Cricetulus griseus: one gene and its partners. The protein of the gene in region 1 purifies or fractionates together with the protein of each later gene. This does not show direct contact. Links are inferred from orthologs where the notes say so. Each region holds a gene or a part of one and is shown on either strand. Other genes may lie near its edges.

Region 1 (5,770 bases):
TACTGGCCTTCTAAAATCTTGATTTCAAGGATTGTCTCTCTCTCTCTCTCTCTCTCTCTCTCTCTCTCTCTCTCTCTCTCTCTGTTTTGTGTGTGTGTGAGTGTGTGTGTGTGTGTGTGTGTGTGTGTGTGTCTGTGTGTCTGTGTGTCTGTGTGTCTGTGTGTGTTTTTGTTTGTTTGTTTTTCAGGAACGGGTTTTCTCTGTGTAGCTCTGGCTGTCCTTGAAATGAGACAGCTTCTTGCTTCTCCCTCCCACGTGCCGGGATTAAAGGCAAGCTCCACACAGCCTGGCAGAATATGCTCTCTTTATGAGCCACATGTGAAGCTTCAGCCCAACTGACAAAGCTTGCTGACATACCCAGATAGAATCTGTAACATTCACTTATGAAATAGGCTGAGCACACTGAACAGGGCAGAGAAGCAAGAACAAGAGAGGTTTCAGGCACAGGCTGTCACTGTCATTCCCTACAGAGTGGGAGATGACATGAAATCAAGGAATCCAAGTCCCTCAGAGTGACTCTGGTACCCTAGGAAAGGAGCCTGGCACAAGAAGACATCAGCACTAAAGACCTTGATGGGGCCTAATGTACTGAATGTAAAGATGAGAAGTAATCCATGGGAAGGACAGCTAGACCAGACTCTGAGCCATCTTTGTTGCCACGTCTCCTGCTCCCAGCCCACCTTTCAAAGATTGTACCTGTACATCGTGCTCTTTGGCTTCTTTATGAGAAAGGGCATGGTAAATCACAGCTGGGGGATAAAAGACAAAAAGAGAAGATTACTTCCTGTGAGGAGTGAGTATAATATCCAAGGCTTTTCCAACTATGACTTCTGAATAAGCACTCTTATTCAGATGAGGACTACTGGGTTAGTATGAAAAGGCAAAGCTTTCTTGGATGATCCTTCTATTATACTCTGCAGTGCCAGGAGATTAAACTCAGTGGGGTTTAATGCAGGGCAGGCTTCACCATGGATCCATGCCCCCGACCCTACTCAATGCGGCTTATTTACACATTTATTTAAAGACAGGCTTTCAGTTTGTATCCTGGGCTGGCTTAGAGTTCGCTATATAGCCCACAGTGGCCTTAAACCCTCAGTACTCCTGTCTTAGGCACCCAAGTGCTAGTTGCTGGATTATACACGTGTACCACCACAATTATCCCAGATACATTTTACTCTTCCCTTGGCCAGAGATTTGTCCTGGAAATTCCCAGGATGAGGTTTAAAAGAGCACCTCTCAAAGCTTAACTTGTTTAAGAATCACTGGACTCTTATAAAGACACCGGTTTTAATTTCTACTCTAGACTCTGCATGTCCAAAAAAATTCCTCAATGGTGCACATTGATTGATTGAAAATACAAGTTATAATTATGCTTGGGTGGTTGCTCACTTAGTAGTGAAGACACTAAAAGTGAGGTGATATTAATGGCTAGGGTGTGGTTGATTGAAACTGAACAATTTGCAGAGTACAAGAAGTTTAAAACAGATTTTTAAGTCTTTAATCCATAAAATTGGAATGTACCCTGACCAGATAGATACAACAGTCTTTCTTCAAATTCTAAATATGTCCAGCATGATGCCAAACTTTCTCTAAACCTCATGCTCCTGTTTGGTATTTGTTTGGAGGAAACCACCATGGTGGTGGGGGCAGAGTACAGGAATAAAGGAGATAAGAAAGAGCAAATGACCAGAATATGTAGCTCACACTACACCCTATACACTCAGTCTCTGAGCTGGGTGTGGTGGCACACACAGTTGATCCCATCACTTCAGAGGGTGAGGCAGCCTAGCTTACATAGTGAGTCCCAGCTCAGTCAGGACTACATAGCTGACCTCATCCCAACAGCTACAATAACAAACCAACAAACAAAAGCCCATGTCTGTTCTCTTGTGCTTCCCTGGGTACATGTCTGACCAGAGAGTTACCAGTTTTACATACAAAATCTTTAGTTCTCCCTTGAACTGCAGATTAAGACTATACTTTGTTTCTTGAGGAAAATGTGCAGGGCCTGGGACCCCAGGAATAATGTTGCTTTACCTACTGCAGATGCCTAGCATGAGAGCTGGAAGACTTCCTGCTGCAGTACACATGTGACAGCTCTGGTACACTCAGTGCTTGTCAAGTACTTGTTTTACAGCAACACATACATGCATACATACATGCATACATAAGTACATATATATACTCATAGGTGTGTATATAATTTATTTCAATCTCATTAACCTTTCTAAGCCATTCGGAATATAATTATTTCCTTGTATGCACATAATAATATTGACATTGAGTCATGCCAAGGCATCAGAGGATGAAAGGACACAGCAGGGGTGGAAATCATTAGATCAGAGGCTTAATCTTTACATTGTGCTCTCTCTGCTCTAATACCGCTCCAGTGCTTGCTTCCCTTCCTGGCTCATCCCTTTTCTGCTCAAATACCAACGCCTTAGGTTTGTGACACTGCGCCCGGGAAGCTTTTTATAAGAGAAAGGGTGAAAAGCCAGGATGTGGAAGGGAGCAATAGTTATACAGGCAGGCAGTGGTCAGGACAAGCTAAAGGCCTTGGCTGCACCTCTTCCAGTTCTCCTGAGCGTCACCAGTTCCCTGGGGTACCACACACTCATCCTGACATCTATTCCAGCTTAGAGACTGAGTTGGCCGATTCACACTCTGGGCCTCGACTGCTTTTGTGTACTGAGTCAGTTGCCTGGAAGTTGTCTCGGGACTCTGTTGTGACAGGATCCCTGATTCGGCTTCCATTCCCGACCCTCTATGCTGTCATCCACCCCGATTTCGAATCTCTCGTGACACTGACCCTTCATTGTCGGCGGCTTCCCGCGAGCTCTGGTGAAGTCTCCTTCGGGCCTCGCTCACTGCTTCCCTTTATTAGCTCTCTTCAGCAGCTTTCGGCCACCGGGACTCTTTCTGGTTGAAATTTCCGCTGGACAAATCCGCTGTGCCCAAGAAACGACGCGGGCACAGTCCACACACAGACTCGCTCCAGTACTTCAATGGACCCCGATCTGACTTCCGCTATGGCGCCTCGCGTGACGTCATGGAGCCGCGCCGGCCTCTGGCGGACATGCGCCTTGTGTTTGGCTCTGCAGCCGAGGGAGGGGCGAGGGAGGCGGCCGCGTCTGTGGCTGGCGGAGCGGAGCCTGTTTTTCGCTGTCTCTTCAGTTGGTGTCGCCCCCTGGCGGCCACAGTCGGGTTGCGGGTCAGAACACAGGAACACAGGAGGCGAGCTGTCCTGAAGAGGACGCCAGGGAGACTGGGGCCAGGAAGGCCCGAATGCGCCTGAAATAGCGGAGGTAATGGCTGCAGTGAGGGTTTAGGAGTCCTTTGGAGTTTTGTTTTCCCTTCAGTTTTCCCTGACAGGGTTTCCACTGTTTAACAGCGCTGCCCGACCTGGAACTCACTCTGTAGACCAGGCAGCCTCAAACTCAGAGATCCTCCTGCCTCTGCCTCCTGCGTGCTGGATTAAAGGCAACTGCCACAACCCTCAGTTTTATTTATTTATTTATTTATTTATTTATTTATTTATTTATTTATTTATTTATTTTTTAAGCAAGGGAGTCAATGCCCATGGCTGTCCTAGAATTCATTCACAGTATTACTAGTCACATTGTGTAATGATGATGGGGATTTACATCTGTTTCAGCTACTAAGTACTTTTATCACCTCGTTTAAGGGTCTGTTTCCTATGACTGAAAAGAGAGAGTAACTTTAGCTGGCTTTGGTCTCAGAACACTTGCTTTTTAAATTTATTTTTCTCCTCTAAAGACAAAGTCTCCCTGAGTAGCCCAGACATTTGCTATGTAGCCTAGGCTGATCTTGGAAATGGAGTATTCCTGTGTAGGCTTCCCTTCCTGCATCCAACCCAAAAAGCATCCTTGAGACTGGGAGAATTGGTGCTGTCAGTATGATAAAAGACAAAAAGTGATTCTCTGGAATCCAAAGGTCCAGCCAAGCCTGCTCAGGTTGCCTTGGTTCTGTCCAGACACTGCCTTTAATTTCCTGAGTGCTGGATCTAACTTGGAGGGTGGGTAAGGGAAAGCAGTGGTTTTCTTAATAGTGAGCACTATGCAACCTTTTAAAGGCAAAAAGAATTCTCAGAAAAACTTGGGCAAACAACACCGCATCCTTGTTTAAGAAACATAGGCTTTGTAGATCTTTGGGTGATAAGTGTGTGCCATTTTGATCTTAAGCAGTACAGGACATGGTAAGGCACATAGGATTTAGAGTTTGGGGACAGCCTGATAACAGCAGGATGGTCACTAAATGTGTTTCCTTTACAAAGGCCTGCAACTATTTTAGCATCTATCAGAGTGTATTTGAGAAAGTGCCCTTGAAAGCTCATAACATGTGAACTCCATAATGTACACCTGATCACTTGTTTGAGACAGAGTCTCCCTCTGTAGGCCTGGCTGTCTGAGAACTGGCTATGTACATCAATTGGCTACAAACTCACAGAGATCCCCCTGCCTCTATCTCAAGAGTGCTGGGATTAAGACATTTTAAAATATTGCTTAACAAAAGTTGTATATTTTTATGATATTTAAAAGGACACTGAAATTTATATATTTCGAAATGGTGAAATCAGGCTAATTAACCCAATAACCTAATATAATTGTTTTTGTGATGAAATATTTAAAATTTTAGTGAGTTTTTTCAAGAATATGATGTTGCTATAGTTACTATGTCATACATTAGGTTATTATATGTGAACAGTTGGGTTTCTTTAAAAAAAACTTAATGTTTGGTGCTTAGGATCAACCAAGGACCTAACCCATGTCCTCTACCACTGAGCTGTTCCACCCTCACAATTATGAACTTAGATAAGCATAAGACGATAGTGGACTAGGGGTGTATCTCAGTATATGAAGACTTATACATTGAGGTCCTGAGTTTTGTTCTCAGAGCTGGGAGTGGGAGTTGGGTGTAGACAACAGAAAATATGGGAGTTATTTTATGGGTTGTAGATTCAAAAGTAGCATGATTTCTGTTTATAGTGACACAGGCAAATGTCTGCCTCTTTCAGGTTATTAGGAGTCTCTCTTTTTAAAGGAATTATTTTGATTAGTGGCTGTTCTTTCTGGTTTTTCCGAGACAAGGTTTCTCTGTGTAACAGCCCTAGCTGTCTTGGAACTCACTTTGTAGACCAGGCAGGTCTCAGCCTCACAGAGATCATCCTGCCGGTCTCCCCTGTCCTGGGATTACAGATGTGTGCTACCATGCCTGCCTCTATTTTATAGTGTTTTGAATGCATATGTGTGTGTGCACTGTATGTGTGACTGCTTCCTGAAGGGTCCAGAAGAGGGCTCCAAATTCTCTTGAACTGGACTTAACACAGATGGTTGTAAGCCTTTATGTATTCAATGTGTTTTGAACCCTGATCCTCAAAAAGAATAGGAGGTGCTCTTAGCTGCTGAGCCATCTCTCTAGCCCACTTATTGGGAATCTCTTGATGAACCTTTTTTCAAATAGCTAGTATAGCTTTGGGTATCTGTCAGTGTTCCCTGTGATTCTCAGATTACAGTAGGCTGGTGGATTCCCCAGAGAGACAGTGCTTACTAAAATATCTGCCTTGTAGGAAGGAGGTGCACCCACTTTATCATCTTCAGAAAACAGTGCATGAAGAGATACCTATTAGAATTTTTGTGATTATTATTTATGATAGCAAAGTACTCAGAACAATATTTGAAATGGATGGACTGAGAAAGTGAAATATGTGCTGATTTATTTGGTAAATTAAATTTATCACATGGGTGATAGA
Region 2 (6,051 bases), on another chromosome or scaffold:
AAGAGGAAGCTTGCACTATGCACAGGGTTACTGCGCGATCCCTAAGCCATTAGGCAATTCAAGCAGTCGCTTCTGTCCCCGGAGACGGACTAGAAGGGCAGCTCCTTCCTTACCTTTTATACTTTTCCAGAAGATCCTTAGCTTGGTCTTCAGCAAAGCGAACCCCAGCAAGGCAGTCTGGGAAATCGCCGGGGATGTTAGGTGACCTTCTATACTGAGAATGCACCGTAGCCTCTTTTAAACCCCCAACTCTTGCACCTCGGAAGATCTAGGAGAAATGTCAAGAGGCCCTGTCAGTTTACTAACTTGAAGCGAGAAAATTGTTTAACTGTCTGTGTAGGGGAAATGAGAAATAACCTAAAAACCCATCAGATGGTAACTGGTAAACCCATGTTAGGATACTCCTACAGCCAAGCACCACACAGCAGTTTAAATGAATGTGAGCGGAACGTCAACCAACACGGGAAAACAACCGCAATACCCAGTGAATACAACAGGTTGCAGAAGCATATTTACAATAAGACAGAGTAAAAAACGTACTTTACAGAGATAAAAGCATTTGGTAAAGGCATGACAAATGCTGAAATCATAACAGTGTTACTTTAGGAGAGATGACACTGGTGTGAGGGACATGGGGGAATGGCCGGCAAAGGGTGCACAGCCACTCGGTAGGTGAGAGGACCTTTTCTTTTCTATGTGAATGAAATAACGCCTGATTGTTGTCTGGGAATGAAGCTAACTGACAGAGTGCTTCCTAGCCCGCTGAGACCTTCAAGTCCAACTCTCAGGCTGAAGAAAATGACAAACATGCCAAGAAAAAGAAAAACCCTTCCTAAATGATTAACAGACTGCTCCTTGCGTTAGGCGTAACTGTCAAAAATTAACTACCTGTGTGAACCTAGCAGCCTGACACTGGCATGCCTCTTAGCTACGGTTAAGAAACAGGAGCAGTATATGCTCATAGTTAGCAAACCACAACAGTACGCTCTATAGTTCTGTAAAAGCTGAGCTCACAAACTGATTCAAGTTGTTTTTGGGGACAAGCTTTCTCTGTGTAACTGCCCTGACTGTCCTGGAAGTCACTCTATAATTCCAGGCTGGCCTTGAACTCAGGTGGGCATGGGTATGTAGGACAAGGGTAGGATCAACACATAAAACAAGCTTGTGAATATCTCAGAGCAGCTATACAGTTAAGATGCTGATCACCGTGTTTTAAATATTGCAAGCAGTAGCTGAGATCAAAAGGCAACTTACGAATGGGATCCAAAAAGCCATGCCCCAACCCTTGGGAAGCAGGACGTCCCAGCCACTTCCCCAGCCCAGGCGATCTTTGCCAGTCACTTTTCCTGGCTGCTGGATCAAAAGGATAGGTATCTTGGATTCACGAGGCCCTAAAACAAGCTGTGACCCTGGCACCAGCAATTCACTTCTCATCCGGTTTAAATCCTAAAGGGGAAGAAAACAGGTCAATACAAACAGCCACTGTCTTCTAAATCTTACTAGACCTTACAGATGATCTTTCTAGATCACCACAGGAGCAAATTTAAAAGTTAAATGTTCTTTTAAAAGGGAAAGCAAGCCAAACAGTGGTGGTGCATGCTTTTAAACCCAGCACTCAGAAGACAAGAGGATCTTTGTGAGTTCGAGGCCAGCCTGGTCTACAGAGCAAGTTCCAAAGCTATAAAGAAACCCTGTCTCAAAAATAAACCTAAAGGAAAAAAGAGAGGGAAAATAAAAGGCTCTGAATAAGCAAACTTGAGCCAGAATAAGTAAAAATATCCTTTCTATAAAGATTTTCCTCTATATGCAGGCATTGGTAGGAAAATGCCAAAGTATCTTAAACTTGCTGTCTGGGCTGGGGTACACCAGAAGACTCAAAGTTAACTTACATATTCATGTTGTTCTTACTTCCTAACATGCCTGCCCCCAAGAAGCCTAGCTCCCATCAGAGAGTAAGTTCAAACATCAGCTCCTTCACACAGCAAGCCAGCCTCAAAGTCCCAAGGAATCTTAGACTTCCTAATGCCCAAGTCACCTATGGGTATCTAACATGATGCCTGGCTCTGGTGGGAACACAATCAGTATGAACTTAAAGACAGAATACTTAAGGGAATTAAGACCAAATAGGATATATTTAAGCCACACGGTTCTTCACTTCAGGAAAAGGTCTTTTTTTTTTCTAGAAATTATTCTTTAAAACAAACAATTCAAAGTATCACAGTAAAGAGTATATAAATAACAGCCAGGCGTTGGTGGCGCACACCTTTAATCCCAGCACTCGGGAGGCAGAGGCAGGTGGATCTCTGTAAGTTTGAGGCTACCCTGGTCTACAGAGAGAGTGCCAGGTCAGCCAGGGCTGTTACACAGAAAAACCCTGTCAGGGGGCAGGGTGAAACTTACAGAATGAAATCATTCTGCAAGGTCTCTACAACGGTGACTCCCCTGTCATTTGTGAGCTTACCCGTAGTTCCTGGCACATTAGTTACCTGATCCGGGATTTTATTCTCTGTGACACTGCTACAGATTTCCTGGTTCCAGATAAAGCTATGCGTACACTCCAAGGGCACACCCTCCTGGAGCAGCTGTCTGACTTGCTCATCATCTAAGAGGGAAAAGAAACAGCCTTCAAACCACACTTTCACCCCATCAACCTCTAATGCTGGAAGACTGTGGTGAAGGGAAACTATTTCATAGGCATTTGCTGAACTAGAAGACAAAAGACTAAGTTATTCTGACAACTGGTTTCCTAGTCAATGAAATAACAACACTTTTCTTTGATAATTACTTTTGTGCAGACACAACTATAATACTAATAACTGTAGGTTGCCCCTTGAATTTAAGACAATGAAATTTCTAGAAGACACCTTCTGTTACCCTTCACTTAGGGTCTCTTGTAACTAACTTTTACTGAGCTGTTCGATCCTGTCTGTAAAACACACTTCGTCATTCCTTTAAAGTGAGCAGTGCTTGTGAACCGTACTGTTTCTTGAGCAAGCCACGCTGTGCTTAGAATACCAGAAAGGAGGGTTTCCAGTGATGCACACTTAACACTTCCACACCCAGTCACTTAAACATGACAGAAAAGAAGTCCTTCAAATCTTATTTTTGTTACACTGAAGAATTAAAAAAAAAAAAAAAAACAGGGGGAGGGAGCATTGTCACTCAAAATCACATACCTGTGTGGGTCTGCTGGCTAGGGAAAAAAATAAGTTGCAAGTGACTAGGTAATGGCCGGACAGAAAGAAAGCTGCAGAGCATCTATAAACTGCTCTTCCCCTGGAGACAGAGCAGCGAGGTCTGAGGTTCAGTGCTGAGTGCCAGGGATGGCCACACAGCCAGTAGCCTATCCCCAGCAGTCCTGGACGACCCAGATTGCTGCCCTGTGGAGCTCACCACAGATCCGGATGGGCAGAACTGAGGTATGATTCAAACTGAGTTGTAGACACAAGAGAGAACTCTCAGGAAACAAAGGCACAGGAAAGCACCAGTTCAACTTCAAATATTCTGCTGAGGGACTAGAAGGAATGAGTCACCACAAAGTCACAGGAAGACGGGAGAGAGGAATCTTTAGGTGCACACTTCACTAAGGGAGAGAGCCAATCACATGACATCTGGAAAAGGCAAAACCACAGGCACTGTGAAAACATAAGGGTTATCAGGGCAAGGACGCTGAAGCCTTCAACTCAGCGTTAGGGACAGGATAGCTTCTGCTGAAACAAAGCCTAGTTTTTCCTTCCCAGAAGCAGAAAACACAGTTGTACAGAGTGAGCTCCTGAAGTCCACGGCTGCCCTGGGATGCCAAGGTCATACAGCCTAAGAGTATTTCAACACAAATCTCTAAATGAGCCTACACACACAGTGCAGCTCACTATTTTCTTTCTTCCCTTCTGTTTTGGTTTGTTTGCCGCTAGCCAGTGAGTGCAGGCAAGCCGCAGTGAGTACACACTTACAACACGCACACTTAGCACATTCACTGCCACCGAGCCACACTTTCTGCTTCTAAGGCCAAGCAAGGGTAAAGCAAGCTCTTCTCTGGCAAGGACCAGTTCAAATAGTCTATCAGAGCACATCAGCCACTGCTAGAGACTGCACAAACGTGGTTTGAGGGTTTCGTTCTACTTTCCCAGTGCTGGGATTGAACTCAGGGCCCTGTGAAGTTAGGCAAGAGCTCTCTCCCCGAGCTACACCTCCAGCCTCAGATCAGTACTTTAAAAACTCACCTCAGAGACCACTTACTTACAACAGTAAACTGCCCTGTTAATGAAGTTGAAAGGTGTTATAAAAACACATTAATAATTAACTTTCTCCCCCCCCCCCAGGGGAGAGCGTGAGTGCAGTCCCTCCCACCACCACAAATCATGCAGCTGAGTTTCCCGAATTTGGGGGGATCGCAGGGGTCTGCACATCCGGAGTGCAATAAGGATAAGCCTCGCCCTGGGAAAAACCACCTTCATGATCATGGTACCTCTCTCCTGCCAGGTAAGTACAATATTAACTCTTAAGAGTCAAACCTCTCCAAAGCATGAGAACACAGTCAGGGTCCTAGGAATCTTTTCCTTTAAAATGCCTAAGATCCAGTTTATCCAAGAAAAGGAGCTCGTTACCCCAAGCAGGCAAACACAAATCTCCAGGTTAGCAGTGTTTAAACTGAGTTTTGCTATTGCTGTTGGTTCCAGTCAAAACAGGCAGGGAACAACTTCAGATACAGACTGGACTAGGTCAAGGGACTGAGCTGCTTCTACAGACTTAATTGACCCAACCCACTAAAGTGTACCTCTACCCTTCTTTTTTTTTTTTTGGTTTTTAGAGACATGGTTTCTCTGTGGCTTTGGAGGCTGTTGTCCTGGAACTAGCTCTTGTAGACCAGGCTGGTCTCGAACTCACAGAGATCCTGTGCCTCCTGAGTGCTGGGATTAAAGGCGTGCGCCACCAACGCCCGGCTCTACCCTCCTTTTTGACGTACCCGCCTAGATGAGATATTAAAAACACTGTTGTAAGACTAATCCAACTACTTCACGAGAAAAAGTGTTTACTGACACTGTTCAAGTCCAGCCTGGGTTAGGTAAGTTCCAGGCCAGTCATAGCTACATAAGAAGGTCCTTATCTCAAAACAACTAGAGACTGAACTAGGGCCACTCACATGCCAGGCAACCATTCTACTGAGCTGCATCCCCAGCCCAAAAAAGGACACTTTTCTTTATGTAGCTCAACATCAACTAAAATATATCCTCAAAGGAATCACAGTACTTAAAACGGGTTCTAATGATCTCAGCACTCAGGAGGCAGAGGTAGACGGAGCTCCGTGAGTTCAAGGCCAACCTGCTCTACGTAGGGGGTTCCAGGCCAGCCAGGGGCATCCAGGTAGACCCTGTCTCAAAGAACAAAAGCAACAAAAACATGCTGTAACGAAATCCACAACAATGTCTAACACACGGTGGATTTTACAGTGGAAGCTAAATCATTTTTCACCACAGACTTAATCTCCCTTTACCCGAGATTCACGTTAAACCTGTTATAAAGGATGTTAGAACCGCCCACCCAAAAGCCAATATGAGGCAGCCAGAGGGGTGTAGAGTTCACCCGTGGCTTTGAGGTGATTACAGCTCGGCAAGTAACCCTCAGGAGACACTCCACGCCTCCTTCCAGTTTCACTAGACCGTACACATTAACCAACAAAGTCTGAGGCTCCACAGTGACTAACTTACCTGGGTGTCTTCAAATCCTCTCAGCCACCTGTTATGTGGAGCTCTGACAGGGCCACTTATTGGTCCCTAGTAAGCTAGCTAACTACATGCAGAGAGGTTAAAGACAAAATTGTGAAGTTGTTATGACACACACTTAAATGCTCTTCTCCCAAAGTTCACAAGCCAGCTCATATTACTCTCCTAGTTAATGGTGTTTTCAATGACAGTGAATCCAAGGTGACATCACAGAAATTGCAGCAAGTCCCACCTTCCCGGCTAGGTAGCTCTCTCGGGCCCCTGTCAGAACCACGTGGTCTGATACTTCAGCACCTGGGATGGCCTTGCCAGGATTCGAACCTGGATCATC
Region 3 (5,329 bases), on another chromosome or scaffold:
GGTTCGAGACAGGTTTTCCTAGGAGCTATGGAGCCAGTCCTGGAACTTGCTCCGTAGACCAGGCTGGCCTTGAATTCACATGCCTCTGCCTCGGGAGTGCTGGGATTAAAGGCATTCACCACCATTGCCCAGCGACCTTGAACTTTTGATACATACTCCTGTCTTCACATCCAGAGTTCTGGTATTACAGGCATATGCCACCATGGCAAGCTTATGCGGTGCTGGAGGTCAACACGAGACTTTATACACATTAGGCAAATACTCTACCAAATGAGTTACATCTTCAGCCCAGTTTTCCATTCTTTCCAAATCTCTTGCTCCATCTCTGAGAGGGGCTAACAAACACATCTAAATCCCTTGGCTCTCCATAGAGAGTCCTCAAGAACAAGAAATTGAGCTGGACAAGATGCACACCTGTAATCCCAGCAATTGGGAGGCTGGTACAGGAGGATCAGTTTCTGGCCAGCCTGTACTACATGGCAAGACCATCTCTAAAAATAAATAGGTCAGGGGGAGGGTAGAGTACAATGAATGACAGTCTGGATGGCAGGACTTGGTGATCCAAAGCAGAAGCAGAGATATTGGAAGGAGAAAAGGGGCCTCCTCAAGGAGCCCCTCCATCAGCGGCAGAAAACAGCCTCCTCACCAGTAGGATTTAGTTCAAAGATCTGCAAGCAAAGTGACTTACAAATGTAAGTCTCCTTTCCAGAGGTGCTGAGTGTCATGGGGTGGCATCTGCTCTGAAGAGCCTGAGCTATATGCTGAACAGCTCCCCATCTGACTTCCAGCACACGGCATACCCCCACCCCCACCCCACCAGCTTGGACTTGGGCAGAGAGGCATCTGAGGCCGTTATCTCTCAACACACAGCTGTGCAGGGCTGGAGGCAGCAGCTTATCAGGGAGCCTGCAGTGATTCACAGACCAGGCTTCTCTGCTGAATAGTAATTTCTAGCAGTGGATTTGTGCTGTCTCTCTCCTCCCCCTCTCCCAAGGGTGTGCTGTCCTTTTGCAGAGAGAGGGCAGTGAAGGGGAGCTCCTACTCATGGGGCTTTATGCCTGCCTTCTGGGTAAGGATGTCTACCGGGAGGAGGGTACAAGGTTAGAACCTTAGCATGGTCTGCCAGCCTTGGCAGGCTGCCTCCTTCGGCTCACCAATGCTCTCCCTCCTTCCTCTCTCAGAAAAGCAGCAATACTGCTTCCTTTCACTTTGTAAGGATGCAACAGGGACACAGACCTCCACCCGCTCCACCACGAGTCCCTCATGCAACATTTTGAGGCTGCCCGGTTGCTGTGTCTGACCTTGAACACTCCAAAGGCTAATAAGGTTGAAGGCAAGCATGCCAAAGTGTCTCTGCACAGGCGGGTAGGTAAGGAAAAAACAAAAAACAATTCTGGGGACAGAGCCATTTTCATGTTTGTTTTATTGGAAGCAAGACTCCAGCAGTAGGACTCAGGGGAGGAGGCGTGGAAAGTTTTGTCCTGGGTCTCCTATCCACCACCATGCAAAAGGGGGGGGGGGGATGCTAAGAGGAAGAAAAGCTAAAAAGGGGAATTGCCAGGCGGTGAGTGGGCAGAATAGGGTCCTAACATTTTCAACTTGGCCACCCTCAAGGAATCTACGTCGCAGCCCCGGCCCTCAGTCAACAAACAGCAAGAATGATTTCAAGACCCTCAACTGTCAGTTTTTGCGCATTCTGGGTGCTTTTAAAGTCTGGGTCCCCAAGAAGGCTCAAGAGTCTTCACTATCCACCATGCTTCACTAAAAAAGATCCCAGGATGGCCTAGAAAAAGTGGGGGTGGAGTTCTGTGGCTTCTGGCAACACTTCCCACAAAGTTTTCTTGGACTTCAGGGGATCCTCTTATCATTCCTGAGCTCCCTCTCTGGTCGCCTTGGGATCCCTGCTGTCAATCTTCCAGTCCAGGAACATGGGCCCCTTAAAACCTTGGTATGAAAGTGCACGAGGATGTGGGAGTGTTGAGGTGGCTCAGAGCCAGGAGTTCTCAGGCGGTCGAGTCCTCATTCTCAGCCCCTGGCTCAGGCTGAGACCGTTTAGCGGTGCTTTCTCCAGCAGCAGATTCCCCCAGGCTCCTCTTGGACGTCGACACCGTAGGAGTGGACGAAGGACCAGGATTGAGGTTCGGAGGCTGGTAGCCGAGTTGTAGTGGATCCAATGCGTCCTTTGAAAGTAGGATGGCCAGGCTCGGTACATTCTTAAGTACACTGAGACTGGCGGCCGGATCGTCAGGCGTCTGACCCCGCGTGGGCCCAGGCGGGAGGCTCTGCCACACCTCGCGCACGCTCCGGTAGCGCAGCCGCGTGACCTGGTGTAAGCCCGCCAGGCGGCGCTTGAGGATCTCGACGCACGTGACGGTTTTGGTGGTGGCCCGGCCGCAGCCGCTGAAGACGATGGCGCGCGTGGCTGGCTGCGCCATGCTGGCGGTGGCAAAGGCCAGCAGGTTGCGGATCTTGCTGCCCTCCTTGACCCGCATGTGTACAGCACCGGGCGCCAGGTCTGCGAAAGGGCCAGAGTTCAGGCTGCCACCCTCATCACCGTCCCCCGCCGGCGCCTCCTCCGAGCGCACCTTACGGAAGTTCTCCATGCGCCGTCGTCGCTGGGATCGCAGGTTTTGCCATGGGGTCGCTTCAAGCCCGGGGCTGCATGGCCGGGGTCGCGCCGGGCGACGGCCGGTAGGGGTTGGGATGCCGGCACCGAGTGGAAGCTGAGGGTGGGCTGTGGACACGCAGTCTCCAGCCCAGATTCCTACCGGGTGGTGCTGCTCTACTCTGAGCCCTCGGCGCCTTGTGCTCCGCGCCTTTAGCAGAAGCTCCGCCTGGGAGCCCGAGAGGCCCCGCCCCTTCGTCCAGGCCCCGCCCCAACTCTGCGTGACTTGTCCGAGTCCCAGCCCAGCCAGCCTTTGGGATCAAGCGCTAGTGCTCAGCGGCTGGGGTCACAGCGCCAGGGGTGACTTGGGAGGCGAAGTTTCCCGAAGTAACCATCGGTCCTCCCTGAACCAGTCCTCACGTAGGAGCAACCTAAATAAAAAACCATGCTTGAGGTACAGACGCCGATTCAAACCCGGTTCCCGAGCCTTGGGGGTTCCAGCTCAAGGGCATCCCTAGACCCCCTCCTAGGTAAGAGATTTCCGAACCATCTCCCGGGGCCTCACTCCTCCAACCCTCCAGAGACCCCCCCTCTCTCTCCTTAGTATTCTTGCCTCAAGGACAGCCAGTGCATGGTCAGCAGGGTGTGAGAGGAGTTGGCTCCGCTACACGTTGCGCCTTCCTAGGATTCGGACCGCTACGTCGCAGCATGGTCCTTGCCTAGCTGCTTAGAGAGATCTATCTAGGTTTCAGCCTCGCTCTTCTTAGCCAGACCTCCAGGCTCCTGGTACCCTCACACCCCTGAAATGCAGGAAGTGATGCGCAGGGCCAGCCTAAAGTGAATGGGAAGAAAACGAGACCATTTCTTCCAAGGCGTTAACGTTGTTGTATGTATTCATGCCTGAAGGTCCTTTACTAGAGCTGCACGCATTCTTATCTGCCTGGCTCAGTCCCTGCCGACACGGATTTATCACTTCCAAACCCATGAGGAATCAGTCTTGGCTCCTAGCAATCCAGAGGGCTGTTTTTGCTGAAAGGGACTGAGAGGTTTTGAGAGATGGGAAGCGGGGTGGAGTTGAAGCCTTGGGGGCGGATTTTGGGATTTGGGGTAACCTCTGGAAACTCCATCGAGCATAAGGAGAGGCTCGGGCTCTGCTGCGAGGTGAGATGAACAATAGAAAGACACGGCTAGGGACGAAGGACTGGTGGGAGGAAGAATCTTTCATAAGGAGTGAGGGAGGGACCATGCATGTCCTTCAGTCTCCAGCCTGGCTTTCACAGAATGCAGGGAGCCTGACAGACCTGCTAAAGCGAGGGCAAGGAAGAAGCACCGAAGGCTGTAGGGAGCAGGTGACCCCGAGGGTATTGTGAGCACGACGGTACCTGGATGGGCACAGCTTCAGTCTAGGTGAGGGCTGCCTGGCCCTCCTCTAACTCTTAGCTATCGGTGACAGTTCTCGGCCCCTCGCAGCTCAGAACACCAGGTTCCTCATCTCTTTTTGGAGGGTGTCTGCAGCACCTGGACCCTTTTCTCATCAAGCGTGAGTGACTGACTCTAATCTCTTGATCATACCCTAGGACTGTGCCCGGAACTGGATCTCTGGCCTGGTCTCAGATCTTGCAGGCTTCACAGGGAGAAGCAGGTTCGGGAGGCACCGCCTTGGGAAGACACCAAGACTGCAGTGTACGGGGGCCACGAAATCAAGGCAGGAACCCGAAACTGGGAATTGAATCAGAAACCACAAAAGAACTGCGCTTACAGGCTTGCTCTCGGTGGTTGTGCAGCCTGCTTTCAAAGACGGGCGGTTTCGGATTGGCCTGAGAAAAAGTTCCAGAAAGACTAGAAGCTGTGAAGGATTGGGCTGGTTGGAAAGCAGCTCTGTGTCCCCGGGAGTCTTCAAGCCTGGGCTAAAACAACTTGGATGTGGGCAGGGACCTGGGAGCTGCGGGTTTGTTCCAGTGAGGGGCAGGCGGTTGTGCCTCCAACCAGGCTGGCAAGCTGGTCTTTACACCGCCACCCACTTCCAGTACCACCACTACCCTCTGCCATAGACTCCCCCATTCACTTTAGTCCGGAGTCTGTAGAGGGAGAACACAGAAAAGGCCCGGTTCCCCGCCCGCGCGTCGCTTCCTTTCCCGCTCCCTCTGCAGCACTTAAAATGTAAATGCACATCGTGATTAGCCGCGGGGTCGCTAATTACAGCTGAAGCCATTCATTACACTGTCAGCTTGCTCCGTCGCCCGCCGGCTGTGCGCTCCCTCCCGGCCTGGGGAGGGGGGAGCGGTGGGGGTGTGTGGCGGGCGGTGGTGGAAGGATGAGGGGACTGCGCGTTGCCGGGAAGCCGAAGGCCGGGAACCAGCAGAGGGGCGGTGAGCTGAGGAAATCGGTTGGACCGTGAAGAAACCGTGGTGTTAGAGAGGGGGGAGAAACGCGGGAGGCTGGAAGGAAGCGAGGATAAAGGGGAAAGGGTAGTGTGAAAGAAGAAACCAGGTTGGGAAGAAGGCCAAAGGAGAAAGCGTGATAAATGGGTAGGAGCCTTCGGAAGGGGACAGATGACAGAGGGAGGGCAGAGAAGGTTCAACTTGTGGAAAGTGGGTAAATAAAGGCACTATCTTTGCTGCACTCGATACCACTGTTCAAAAAGGCAGTCAGGACGGTATGCTGAAAAGCTGGGTGCCCGCCAAACCCTGCGGATACGTTTGCATATGTAAATGTATTTTTAAA
Region 4 (6,607 bases), on another chromosome or scaffold:
TGTTTTATAATTTGTTGCAATCTACAGGGAAGTTCATGTACTCTTCCCTCAGGCTCCCCCAAAACAGCATCTTATATAACCTGGTACCTGATCAAAGCCAGGTAACTGGTATTAATACAATTCAGAATGTACTTAGAGTTGACACCATGTGTGCACATTTATATTTATACGTGTGTAATTTTTTCACACAGGTGATTTTTTTCCCGGTTTTTTCGAGACGGGGTTTCTCTGTGGCTTTGTGGCTGTCCTGGAACTAGTTCTGTAGACCCGGCTGGTCTCGAACTCACAGAGCTCCACCTGCCTCTGCCTCCCAACACACAGGAGATTTCTTCAGGATACCTAGACATAGGGGTGTGGGGGGGCCTTGGTCCTGCCTCAACAAGATGATGGGACAGACTTAACAGATTTTCTAGGTGAGGCCTTACCCTCTCTGACAAGCAGATGGGAGGTGGGGTGGGTGGAAGTGGGGGGGGGAAGACGGGGGAGTGGGAGGAGATGAGGGCAGGGAGGGGGAACAGAGATTGGAATGTAAAAACTAATTATTTATTTTTATGTGTGTTTTCCCCACATGTACACGTGTCCTAGCATGTACATGTACCAGCGGTCTATTGCTCACACACATATGTATATGTATCTATATATGAGCACTATATATGAGCCACTGCACATGTGTGGAGGTGAAAGAAAATTCTCAAGAGTCTGCTCTTTCCTTCCACCATGTGGGTTCCAGGAACTGAACTCAGGACATCTTGCCATCCCTCACACTGCTTTATAAAGAGACCTTCTCACTCAAGTGTGATAGCTCCCATATAAACCCTTCATCTTTACAAAGATGGGCAATGATATTACCAATCTAGACTATAATTTGATAGCTGTGCAAAAACAAACCGTGGCCTACCAGGTTCCTTGTCAATACAGGGCACACTGGAATAACCTACCAGAACTCATTATTTCTGAAAGTTGGCTTTTGCAAATTCCAGTATACCTTTAAAAGATGATATTTCTGTGTTTCTTACAAAGTACTCTTCTAGGCCAGGAGTGGTGTTGCTTACCTTTAAGCCCAGTGCTTGGGAGGCAGAAGTAGGTGGTTCTGTGAATTCAAGGCTAGCCTGTTCTATAGAGCAAACTGCAGGACAACCAGGGATATACAGAGAACTTTTCTCAAACAAACAACAAAGTTTTCTTCATTTTAAAAAAGTATGTAGACAGGCTGACTTCCAACGGCTATGTAGAGGAGGTTTACCTTGAATTCTTATTCTACTTTCACTTACCAGGGGTAGAATCACAGATGCTAGAATTATGATAGGTGTGTGCCCAAGTGACAGGTATGACCCATCATTTCACCACTGGGCTAGATATACTCTTAGTCCCTTTTCTAGAATGTCTTATGAAAACCTAAAGAATCTTACTTAATCTGCCAAGTAACTCATACCTCCCCAAACAGGTCCTTCAGGGCTGAAACAAGCAGTTGTTTGAATTGGGCTGTATTCAGTCCAACTCCGTGTTCTTGAAACTCTCTGGAAAAAAAAATATTAAAAAGAGAAATTATCATATTAAACTCCATGCTTTTCAGATTGGGGTGGGGGGAAACATTATAAGACTGAACTTACAAGCAGACTTTCATGTAGTGGTACTCCGAGGGGCTCTTGTAAACTAGTCTTTCATATGCTGTAGCTGGCATCTTCAAACATGGAGTTCCTACAAGGAGTCAAGAGCGCTCATAATTACCAGATACACCTTATTATTATTAGTAGTAGTATTGTGTTTTTAAATTGAGAAAGACTTGTTATATAGCTAAGGCTAGCCTTGAACTGATCCTCCTGCCTTTCTCTAGGAAGGACAGAGATCACCAGCTAGAATGTCAGCACATCCAGCCTATTTGACTTTTAAAGACTTATTATAGTACTTTATGTAACCCTGGTTAGACAATGGTGGTGGTTAATGGTCACATGACAATGCATATTTCCTTAATGACCAAAAGAAAGTTAAAATGACACACTGTATATTTTACTCTTTTTAAGGGCACTTGCTGCTCTTGTAGAGAAGCCAGGCTGGGTTTCCAGTACCCACAGGGTCTGTACTCCAGTTCCAGAGGATCCAACACCCTCCTCTGGCCTTCCTAGGCACTGCAACAACATGGTGCATAAATACAAATGCAGGCAAATCCTCCATACAATTAAATAAAAATAAACTAACCTTTAAAATGATGACTTAAAGAGTCACTTTGTATAGTCTTAAGCTCTCAGAGTAAAATCTAGTATCGTCCTCAGTAGTTTGGCATCATACTCAACAGGTTCAAGATGTATACCTCTTACAGTCACTGTTGATACCTTTTTCTGATTGCAGGGATGTTGCTAGCAAGTTACTTGGTTTTGATCTTCTGCCCCCCTCTCTAATCTATATGGCTGCTGTGAACGTGTTAAACCACATCACAGCTAGGTGGTGATGCTAAATGCCCTTAATCCCAACACTCAGGAGGCAGAGGCAGGTGGATCTCTGAGAGTTCCAGCCAGCCTACTACAGATCCATGACAGCATGACAACCAGGGCTACCCACAGAGACCTGTCCTGAACCATCACCACTCCACCCCCCCCAAAAAAAAACAACAAAACCCAAAATGCCTCATATCACAACTCTGCTCAGACGTAGTGATGCTTCTGATTTTATGCAGAGTAGGGTGGAAATCTTTGAGGTCCTGCTTTGACCTCATGTACAGTCAGGGACAGCAAGAGAGAGGAACCAAGAGGACAAAAGAGAAACAAAAGAGGGTGTGAATAATCAAGAGAACCAAGAGGGCCGGTGTTGCTGGCACACACCTTTAATCTCAGCACTCGGCAGGCAGATCTCTGTGACTTCGAGGCCAGCCTGGTCTACAGAGCTAGTTCCAGGACAGCCTCCAAAGCCACAGAGAAACCCTGTCTTGAAAAACCAAAAAGAGAAAAAAAAAAAAAAAAAAAAAGAGAAGCAAGAGGAAGAGAAGAACCAAGAGAGCTGAGTTAATAATCAAATAGCTGAGTTACACAGGAACGAAAAGCTGGGCCTGAGGTGGTTAGGGGAGGGAGCAGGACTTGTCAGCCAGAATAACTGTAATAGGTACTTGTGAGCAGGGACTGAGGGGGCCTAGCATAGCCCTTGATATGCTAATAAGCACCACAGTCATAGGTTAAAAGAGGAGCCCAGTGAACCTTTAGCCAGAGGTAAGTGGAGAATGACTCAACTGTCTTAAATTCCAGAGGGAATGGCAGCTTTTGTCTAAGTGCCAGACCGGAGAAAAGGAATTCCTCTGGGGGTGGGGGTGGTATTCGAGACAGAGTGTGTAACAGACTTCTGACTGTCCAGGAACTCACTCTGTAGAGCAGGCTGGTCTCGAACTCATAGTGATCCATCTGCCTCTGCCTCCCGAGAGCTGGGATTAAAGGCGTGCACCACCACTACCCAGAGAACAGGAATCTTGTGAGACCTAACACTCTAGGCTTCCTCCTCCTCTTGGCCTCGGCTAAGACTAGTTTCTCTGCAACCCAGAAGCCGGTAGCCACGTGTCTCACACTTCCTAGCCTCCTTCATCTTACTCAATGCGTTCCACGGCTCAATCTGATCTACGATGGCGCCAACCCCTCCTTGCCCAGTCCTTGCAACCCTTAAATTCTAACAGAACTACAGAATATCTAATCTCCACTTCCTTCCTCCTGCCTCTCACAACGCCTGTACTCCGAAAAACAATGTTTAGTCCCTATGGCTTCTACCGGATTCAAACGTGCCTTGCACATTGAAGCACACGAAACACAACTCTGGGACTCATGGGAGCAAAGCAGCCGTGGAAGAAGCCCGGCCCCCTACTGCTCTAAGAGTTATGCGGTTTGCAATCTTGCTCGACAACAACCGCCATCTACTTGGCGCCCACCACGAGGGGAGTGCGCTACCTTCAACCTTCCCCGCCGTCTGGAACCCGGACCGACCTGCCAGCCGCACCGCCTCGCGCATGCGCACCCGCACAGGCCGCGGGCCGTTAAGAGGCTCCGGCGGCGCTGGATCGGCCGCGTCCCTGTCTCCTGCGCGCTGCTAGAACCGGGCGCGGGTCGGAGTTCCCACGCAGCAGCCCAAGTCTGGGCCTGCAAATGTGATGTGTTTACATTTGCCTCCGCCCCGCACCTCCCCACAGACGCGACGCGCAAGCGGAAGTGACATCACTGCTCGGCGTCGGCCCCCTAGACGGTGGCATGGTCCTCAGCCGGGCTGAGGTCGATGGGTTCAGCGCCCCCTGGCGCCCATTTCCGGAACTTGCATTTGTGGCATGTTTTTTAGGCGCTAGCAATCTTCGTGGTCATTTATCTCTACATTCATTTGCAACAGTTTATATCAAACATCTCCTCTCTTAGATTATTTTCCTTGTTTTTTTCTTCTTTCGCTGTGCCAGGGATCAAAACCACCGCTTCATCTATGCTAAGCAAGTCCTCCACCACTAAGCTAAATCTAAGCCTTGTCCTCTTCAAGAACATCTCTCAGGCACCAGACAAGATCCACTGTCAGTGGCCCTTTATGGCTCCTATCACACAGTTCTGTCTTGACATGGAAAGATCTAGCTGCTCCTGTATCCAGATGTAAGTTATTCCACTTTTGATTTACTCACCAAGAGTTTGTTCTGAATTCACTATGTGCTAGCCGCCATTCTGGGCGGTGGGAGCTCAGGAGCATAAGGTATAGTCCCTCTCTATGTGTGACATATAGTGTGTATTTAATAGTAACAATAGCAAATTAATATTACTTGGTGCCAGGCATTGTACAAAAGATTTTACCTAAGTTATCTAATGGAACCCTCAAACAACCTTGGGGTAGCTATTATCCCAATAGGGAAAGGTTAAATTATCTGCCCCCACCCCATCATGATTACAAGTGGTATTACAGATTATCTGCTTTGGCCAGTAATGTCCAGACTACACCATCTTAAACCAGCTGGAGTCTGAGGTGATCTCTGTGTGTGGGGACTTGTGTGATGGCTTATCACTGCCTTGTATGCCTTGGTACCAGCGGTCACTCAGCTTGTACTTACTAAAAATGTTTTTGATTTGGCCTGAGCTAGACATGGCAGTGGGCATAAAATGTATGCCTTGCACAGCCAATCCTGTGCCTAGGCCAGTTGGGGCCTTCTCTATAACTGAGAAAAGAACCTAATATTTGTTGTTTCCTAAAACTCTGTCATTCTTGTCTTGGCCATGCTCTGTAGTCATGTGGCTTCTGCTCCTTCCCCCTCAGGGGGGACAGGACTTGTTTCAGATGGGGAATAAATGGAGGAAACTAACACTGACACTAGATAGTGACATTTTCTTTCTCAAAAAAAAGTTTGGATTTTGGAAGTTGCCAGAACTGGCTTGGAATCCAGTTCTTCACTTCTTGTACAGATAGATCATCACCAACTTCCTTGAGGAGTTGTAAGAAACTCTTTTGGCAGTAGAAGGAATTAGGTGTCTTGTAAGAAGCTGGTGCATATTTAACAGACACTATGAATTATGAGTCTGAAATAGCTCTCTTAGGTTATCAGTCACCTTCAAAGTATCTATGTTTAATTATACATACCAAGTCAGTTTCCATCTGGTCACATACACTTGGTGACATGCAGGATTTCGTGGAAAATCTTTATCTTTTAACTCAACCACTACAGCTCTCAGTCCATCCTATTTCACTTACCATTAATTTGTGTGTGTGTGTGTGGGGGTGTGTGTGTGTGTGTGTGTGTGTGTGTGTGTGTGTGTGTGTGTGTGTGTGTGTGTTTTGGTTTTTCAAGACAGGGTTTCTCTGTGTAGCTTTGGAGCCTATCCTGGCATTCACTCTGGAGACCAGGCTGGCCTCAAACTCACAGAGCTCCACCTGCCTCTGCCTCCCGAGTGCTGGGATTTTTTTTAAAGATTTTATTTATTTATTATGTATACAACATTCTACTTCCATATATATCTGCACACCAGAAGAGGGCACCAGATCTCATTACAGATGGTTGTGAGCCACCATGTGGTTGCTGGGAATTGAACTCAGGACCTCTGGAAGAGCAGCCGGTGCTTTCAACTTCTGAGCCATCTCTCCAGCCCACCGAGTGCTGTGATTAAAGGCATGTGCCACCAACGCCCGGCATGTTTAACTTTCTATCGTGGTGTCTCATACATGTTTGTAAGCCTTCCTCAGCCCTTCCCAAAACACACAAGTAAGTACACGGTTACTTGTCTTATGCAGGGTTACTATTACTGTGATGAAACACCATGACCAAAGGCAAGTTGGGGAGGAAAGGGTTTATTTAGCTTACACTTCCACACCATAGTCCATCACTGAAGAAAGTCAGGATAGGAACTCAAATAGGGCAGGAACCTGGAGGCAGGAGCTGATGCAGAGGCCATGGAGTAGTTCTGCTTACTGGCTTACTCAATCTGTTTTCTTATAGTACCCAGGACCACCAGTGCAAGGATGGCACCACCCACAATGGGCTGGGTCCTCCCCCATAAATCTCTAATTAGCTCTACAGACTAGCCTACAGCCAGATCTTTTTTGTTTTATTTTTTGAGACAAGGTTTCTCTATATAACAGCTCTGCTGTCCTGGAACTTGATTTATAGACCAGACTGGCC
Region 5 (6,596 bases), on another chromosome or scaffold:
GGAGGGAATTCTTAATAAAATAACCTTACCAGGCTTTTCTTTTTCTGTATTAAACAAGCCTTTTTCCAAGTCAATGCTTACCTACAAAAAAAGCCAAATTACCACCAAGTAAAAATGGTATGCCGCTTTTGAAGACAGTGTACTGCTTAGCATTTAGTGTCTCTCCCTTACAACTGAGGACCTTCTCTAGTTGTTCCACCCACCTTACTAGACCATGTTTGTGGCCCATTTTCCAAGTTTGGTAGAGAAATGTTAAGTGCTGTAGGAAACTGATGTTCTTGCAAGCAAGCATTGTACCAGCCTTTAAAGCAGTGAATTTATACACGCATGGACATTAGTCTCAATAAACTTTGGTTTTGTTAATCATCGTTTTTGAGTGTTTTCTGTACCTCATGGTTTTAAGTTTCAATGTATGTGTCCCACCCAGTCAGAAAGACTTGCCATATCTGAAAGAACACCTCCATGCAAGATCCTAAGAATATATGTAAACATACTTTATTTGTTTTAAAATAAAAGTATTTAGATCATATCCTTTCATGAAATGACAAGTTCATACAAAACTACTTTGAAATGGATTTTTTACTTTTGGGTGGTTTCCTTATCTTATGAGGGTTGGGAATGAGTTTCTTTATTTTAAGGGGTTGTAGTATTGTAGTGGAAGCCTGCCCACCTTCGGCAGGCTTTCTCTTACTAACTTTTGTAAGGTCATCAAATGAAGTGTCCAAAATCTCTTTGTCCCGGCTTTCCAAAGATTCTGTCTCTAAACTGTCTTTAGGATCTTGGGTTCTGTCTTGAAGCCATGGCACATGTAAGCTGGGCACCCTGGGAATGATAGCTCTTACTTCCTCAGCGAAGTCCATGGAGTTCTTTCTAAAGCCCAAGGCTAGCATACATTTTAAGCCAATGACAGGAGCAATTCTCTGGCTGAGCTGAGGAACCTGGCAAGCGGGCACAGTTCTGCTTATACTCAGCTGAATCATGTGTGAGGTGATGACAGCAGGCTTGACCGACTTACAAACTAGAACTAGGAGCAGTTCATTCCTCTCCAGAGCTCTGGTGACTTCATTAACGCCAATGACCAGCTGTTTTCTGACATGTGCGGGTGTCCACCCTGAGACCTGCACATTCCCATCGTGCTCCTCTTTCAGACCCTCACTAATCTCAACATCTGGGCTGCATCTTTGCTTTTTTACAAAAGGTGTTTTTTTCTTTTTATCTTCAATTTTCTTTAGTCCAATTGATTTAAATTTGTCTTCAAGTGTCTGTAATATAAAGTGTATGTCCTCTCTCTCCAAGGTGCTCCAGGAAATGACATACGGGTTGTTCAGTGATGTCTTTACAACCAGAGGTCTAGTCTTCCTAATAGATCCCCTCTTAGGTGCTTGAGGGGCTGCAGCCATCTTGAAAACCCTTCAGAAAGAAGCATTATCTCATGTTAGTAATGCATGCTCTGAGAATATTTTGGTTATATTCCAGTGTTTTCTTGTTTTTTACTCCAAACTGATAGGCAAGTCTAATTATATAGGCCCAACTAGGTAGCCATGAACATAACTTCTCTGGTAAAATGAAGTAGTTATAATTTCCCCTATTTTTTTCCATGATACACAGGCAATGTGAGAATGACTGGTGTTAAGCTCAGAGGTTTAGCATCTTCTAAACTCTTAATTAGACTTCACTCATTTATTTTTAAAAATTAAGTTACTAGGATTGGGGATCATATCATAGAGCGTCAGAGGGGACAGCTCTATCAAAGTAGGTTCTCTCCTTCTACCATGTTGAATCACAGGGTAGAACTTGGGTCACAAGCATAGTGGCAAATGCTTTTACTCTCTGAAGAATCTCAAGGGCCCCTCATTCACTCATTCATCAGCCCATATACTCCAGTGGGCAGATGGTGTTCTAGGCACAGCTGCTGGTGGGCATCAAGACACTTGTGTCTGCCCACACAGAGCTTATCTGTAGTCTCTGAAATTCATAACTAACCAGATCAGGCTTTAAGAACCAAAAGTAATATATGTCCATGGCTAAAACTTATTCTGTACCCCTTTGTAAGTCTCCTTCAATGATCCCCAATTTCCTTCCTAAAACATACAGGCACATATTTTTCCCTTCATTAGATTATAAGATGACTGCTTTGACAGGCAATTTCATGAAAATTTGTGATGAAATTCAAAGAAATTAATCCATTAGGGAGAAATAAAAGGGCTGGGCTCCTTCCGAAAGCGTATTAGAAGCCATTGGCCTATTCATAATTTTCCTAGAGACTACAGATATGGTATTAGCCTTACAGACTCTTTAGGATGTTCTTGGTTGCTCTCTAGTTGGGTATTCATCTAGATCAGGCTTGTCCTTTCCAAAGGCAACTGCATACTTCCTTCTCTCAGTTATTTTCTCCTTCCTAGAGTTTATCTAAGAACTATAAAGACCCATTTAAGCAAGTCCCCTTTGATTAAGGTTCCTCCATTTCAGGGCACTTTCTCCAAATATATACCCAATTCCCTAACACACCTATAGGGTTCCTCAGTGTATGGGTTAGGAAGCTGACTCATGGCTCCATCTTCGAAATAACCTGTAGCTTATAAGAACATACAGATGGCTGGTTCCCACTCTAGAGCTACTGAGCTGTAGGAGTGCAGCCAAGTCATGGGTGCTGGTAAGATGTCCAAGTGAACTGAAAAAGAACCAGCATTTGGAAATGTTGGTTGTGGGACAGGTTGGCTTTCCAAACTGGACAGTCCCAAGAAATGGTGTTGCAGAATCACTCCGAGATCCTGATCCATAAAGCCAGAATTCCTCCCAGTGAGTGCTGCAACCTGGTCCTGTCAATGCTGCCCACTGCTACAGACATGGTCTGTTGATGCTTCCTTCCCCACACTGCACTGCACTCTCCCATTGGTCCCTTATTAGCTCTATGCTCCCCTCAGGCTCAGAGATTAAAGAACAGAAGGCCATCCAGATCTAGTGAGGTGACTGCCAGAAGCTGATATCTGGCTGTAGGTGGTCAGACAAAGTGACCAGGGAGCAAGACAACGGCCCCACCACAGTTCTTACCAACCGGCGATTCAGTTACTGTATGGGCCTAGCCCATCGGTTTACGAGGGACACTCACTCTTAGATACTCTGCAACCAAGGGACAGCAAGATTGGGATCACTTCTCTGATACACAGAACCTGGAAGGGAAGATGAAAAAAGTCAAGTCTGCATAAGGTGGCCGCCATGCAATATGAAAAAATGCTTAACAGCTTCATAGACAGGAAACCAGGATGGACATGTGCCTTGCCATCTGTGTCTGCAAGCTGCTGCTGCCTACGGGATCAACTGAAAACTCAAAGGTTTAGCTTTTACCCTCCCATTTCTCACAAGCCTTTCTCCTTTCACCCACCATGCATATTATAGATTCGGGCTATTTAATGAAACCTCTGGTGTCTCATGTCCTTATGCTCCGTGTATCCAGCCTAGGATACGACTCACATACCACATGCTCTCTCTTCGTCAAAGTCTTATGGATTATATCCTTGATGCCCTAAACCATTAGGCGTTGTGCAAAGCGAAGGCCTCTGCGGTTAATAAAAACGTCTCACTTTAAAAGAGTAGTAGTGATGTACCTTAGGGAGCAGAGAGGTGTGGCCTTAGCCGAGAGAGTCAGGAAAAGAAGGCTCTCTGGGGGAAATGAACGCTCTCTAAAGAATTCCTTCCAGACTAAGTAGAAAGGGGGCAGCGGGGTAACCCAGAAGAATATTCAGTGTCGCTGGGACAGAGATAAAGGCGTTGGAATTACCGGGTAGGGACAAGATGGAGAGTCTTGGCGGTGGAGTGGCGCGATTAGAAAGGCGTCACGGAAAGACCTTGATTCTGGGAAGGGACCTGGGAAAGGTTGTCAGCAGCAGAGCACCAGTCCCGTGGTCTCGGGAGAAGCAGAGGTACCCGCGTTTCGCCACGCAAAGGAAACCCCTCCGGAGGGAGACTGAGAACGCCGGAAGGGGCTTCAGGGAGACCTGGAGTGACCTCAGAAGCTGTCTGCAGCCCCTTTCCCACCACCCCGCGGTGACAGGGGTGCCCACGGGCTGGGACTCGGACCATAGGCGCTCGCCCACCTCTCCCGAAGCGCGCCCTGCGGAGACCACAAGACAGGGACTCCGTATCACGACTCCGCCGCCACTGGGGACCCGAGCGCCGGCTCCACGTGCGCCTGCGCTGCGCCTGCGCAGCCTGACCGCCTCCCTTCTGCATTACGTCACACCTGGTAAGGGACTTGAGCGGCAGCTTGTGACAGCAGGAAGTCCTTCCGTAAAATCCCTAAGCTCGGGACAGACCTCTGGAGCAGCACTGCGCAGGCGTATGATCTGTCTCGCGAGAGTCTGTGGTTGCTGTAGTAACCAGCCGCTCTCAGTCTGGACTGGTGGTGTAAAGATGGTCTAGCCACCGGTTCCTGGGTTCTGGTTCGTGGTTTAAGCACGATGGCTTCTGCCTTGGAATTCTGGCCCGCTATCTCTTTTCATTCTAGAATCGCAAAGCTCCAGCCCTTATAACCATTCATTCTCTGCACATGTCCCCGCGCCACGAAAATCAAATAAATAAGGGTTGTAGGGTTAGGTGTAATTACAATTTAGGTGGAGAATTTTGAGCCAACTCCAAGAGAAATAAGGGCGGCTTTCAATTCCACAGCAGTATTCCAGAATATTCCAGCAACATCTGTTCTGCCTTGGAGACAAAAATGGAGACAAAAAATGGTTATCAAGCCAAGCGGTGGTGGCACACGCCTTTAATCCCAGCACTTGGGAGGCAGAGGCAGGAGGATTTCTGCAAGTTCGAGGCCAGTCTGGTTTACAGAGTGAGTCCCAGAACAGCTAGCTAGGGCTACACAAAGAAATCCTCTCTGGAAAAACCAAAAGAAAAATATTGGTTATGAACAGGATCACTGGGGAGTTATGGACACTAGCAAAAGAGTGGGATACTGTGCCAACGATTTAAAAACCTAAATCTGTTGGCTACATTTGACAAAATGTTTTTATCCTTTCTGTCCTTTTCTAACGAATTTGGGTGGACTCAGGTCCTTCTCCATGCCTTCCTCCTGTTCTCAGTGTCTTCACTGCTCATTTTAGATTGTAAAACTTTAGAGTCTAGTATTTTCATTATACACCACCTACTGCACATAAATTAAACAAAACAAAAAGGGTTGCTTTGGGTCAAAGATTGTTGCAGTTTTTACAGGGAATGTGCTGTGGTTTTTATCACAAGCAGATTATCAAGAATAAAGCCAGCATGAGTTTTGAGTGTAACAACAGGCTTTTGTTTCATAAAACGTTCTTCACCCTTTTGCAGTCATGTGGCGCTGAAGACAAATTGCGATAGTCAATTGAAACACTAAAGGTTCACATAAAACCCTGGTGCTTGGGAGACTGAGTCGGGAATATGTAGAGTTCAAGGTCAGCCTGGACTGCTTAGTTCAAGGCGACCAACCTCAGCTACAGCCCACACCCCCGAGACACACACACACACACACACACACACACACACACGAAAGAATGAAAGAAGGAAGGAAAGGAAAAGAAAAGAAGAGGAAAAATGAGAGGCAAGAGGGGGAGAGAAACAGAAGTAAAAAGGTAAGCAGAAAAGAAGGCAATGGCTCTGTTGTTATCCCACTAAAGTTCCAGAAATAAAGTTTACCCATGACCTAACCTTTCACGTGATCATTTTTCTAGCTCCTACATTACAAAGCTTTGGAACCAGGCTGCTAAGTTGGAACCCTAACCTTACCACTAACTAGTGTACCTATGCCTGGCACAAGTTATGAAGTGATAAAAATAGCACCTATTCTGAGGATTAGAAGAGAGTTCTGTGTAAGATGCTTATCACAGTGCCTGCCACATAGTAAGTGCCAGACAAACTGAACCGTGATGGCCCAGTGACATCTTTGGCAGAATCAGGTTAATAAAATTTAAATATATCCTCTACTATTTTAGTCCTTGTTTTCTGTTTGAAGTCTGGCATTATTTCCACAAGAATTTTACAAAAAAAAACATGCTATTTCTCATAGGTAATTTATTCCATTTGTGTGACACAAACTTCATAACAAAACAAGTTATTTTTAGAGGTTCTCTTAAAAATCATCTGAGATGATACAGTCACCCCCACATTTTTGTTCAGAGTCATATACTAACTTATTTCCAATAGATGTGTGCTTAAAAAACAGTAATATCAATTCAGTTTATGTTCAGATTGTTTTTCTACAAGCATTTTCCAGTATGTCTCAAATATTTCTACAAACATTTTTCAGTAAGCATCCTGTAGTTTCCTTAATTACTATATATTTGGCATTCTATACCTAATGGTCAATTTTGCTTTTCAATGATAGCTGTTATTTTAAAATAATTGTTAAGTTTATGAACATCTCTTAAAAGCTTTTAATAACTTAGAAGGTTTATAGAAGCTTTATTTTTGTATTAATTCTTGAACTGTTAGATAAAGGTTACAACAAAATAACATTAGTTTAAGATTCTAAGTAAGAAATTGTAGCATTAGAGCTGACAAAAAGTTTGTCAATAAATATTGTGCAATATTTGAATACCAGATTTTTCTTTTCTTCCATGGAATTC

The links.
Region 2: the proteins of Pop4 (region 1) and Pop1 purify together in Homo sapiens (affinity purification with mass spectrometry; 5 studies listed by BioGRID and IntAct, counting the BioPlex papers as one, with this or other methods). This does not show direct contact. The link is inferred for Cricetulus griseus from reciprocal best matches to the Homo sapiens genes POP4 and POP1.
Region 3: the proteins of Pop4 (region 1) and Rpp25 purify together in Homo sapiens (affinity purification with mass spectrometry; 3 studies listed by BioGRID and IntAct, counting the BioPlex papers as one, with this or other methods). This does not show direct contact. The link is inferred for Cricetulus griseus from reciprocal best matches to the Homo sapiens genes POP4 and RPP25.
Region 4: the proteins of Pop4 (region 1) and Rpp14 purify together in Homo sapiens (affinity purification with mass spectrometry; 3 studies listed by BioGRID and IntAct, counting the BioPlex papers as one, with this or other methods). This does not show direct contact. The link is inferred for Cricetulus griseus from reciprocal best matches to the Homo sapiens genes POP4 and RPP14.
Region 5: the proteins of Pop4 (region 1) and Rpp38 purify together in Homo sapiens (affinity purification with mass spectrometry; 4 studies listed by BioGRID and IntAct, counting the BioPlex papers as one, with this or other methods). This does not show direct contact. The link is inferred for Cricetulus griseus from reciprocal best matches to the Homo sapiens genes POP4 and RPP38.

Annotation. Positions count from the first base shown.
Region 1 is NC_048599.1:152,152,171-152,157,940, reverse strand, and holds the start of Pop4 (ribonuclease P protein subunit p29), read right to left. Parts: upstream 3,046-5,770; 5' UTR 2,817-3,045; coding exon 2,810-2,816; intron 750-2,809; coding exon 697-749; intron 1-696. UniProt on the Homo sapiens protein: Component of ribonuclease P, a ribonucleoprotein complex that generates mature tRNA molecules by cleaving their 5'-ends.
Region 2 is NC_048603.1:16,507,298-16,513,348, forward strand, and holds part of Pop1 (ribonucleases P/MRP protein subunit POP1), read right to left. Parts: intron 4,488-6,051; exon of another isoform or gene 4,319-4,487; intron 2,603-4,318; coding exon 2,487-2,602; intron 1,447-2,486; coding exon 1,255-1,446; intron 269-1,254; coding exon 114-268; intron 1-113. UniProt on the Homo sapiens protein: Component of ribonuclease P, a ribonucleoprotein complex that generates mature tRNA molecules by cleaving their 5'-ends. Also a component of the MRP ribonuclease complex, which cleaves pre-rRNA sequences.
Region 3 is NC_048597.1:169,123,662-169,128,990, reverse strand, and holds Rpp25 (ribonuclease P protein subunit p25), read right to left. Parts: upstream 2,604-5,329; coding exon 2,004-2,603; 3' UTR 1,819-2,003; downstream 1-1,818. UniProt on the Homo sapiens protein: Component of ribonuclease P, a ribonucleoprotein complex that generates mature tRNA molecules by cleaving their 5'-ends. Also a component of the MRP ribonuclease complex, which cleaves pre-rRNA sequences.
Region 4 is NW_023276807.1:76,004,537-76,011,143, reverse strand, and holds the start of Rpp14 (ribonuclease P protein subunit p14), read right to left. Parts: upstream 4,185-6,607; 5' UTR 3,982-4,184; coding exon 3,921-3,981; intron 3,904-3,920; exon of another isoform or gene 3,759-3,903; intron 1,699-3,758; coding exon 1,611-1,698; intron 1,518-1,610; coding exon 1,433-1,517; intron 1-1,432. UniProt on the Homo sapiens protein: Component of ribonuclease P, a ribonucleoprotein complex that generates mature tRNA molecules by cleaving their 5'-ends.
Region 5 is NC_048596.1:220,624,390-220,630,985, forward strand, and holds Rpp38 (ribonuclease P protein subunit p38), read right to left. Parts: upstream 4,230-6,596; 5' UTR 4,095-4,229; intron 3,914-4,094; exon of another isoform or gene 3,779-3,913; intron 3,171-3,778; 5' UTR 3,052-3,170; intron 1,411-3,051; 5' UTR 1,401-1,410; coding exon 561-1,400; 3' UTR 474-560; downstream 1-473. UniProt on the Homo sapiens protein: Component of ribonuclease P, a ribonucleoprotein complex that generates mature tRNA molecules by cleaving their 5'-ends. Also a component of the MRP ribonuclease complex, which cleaves pre-rRNA sequences.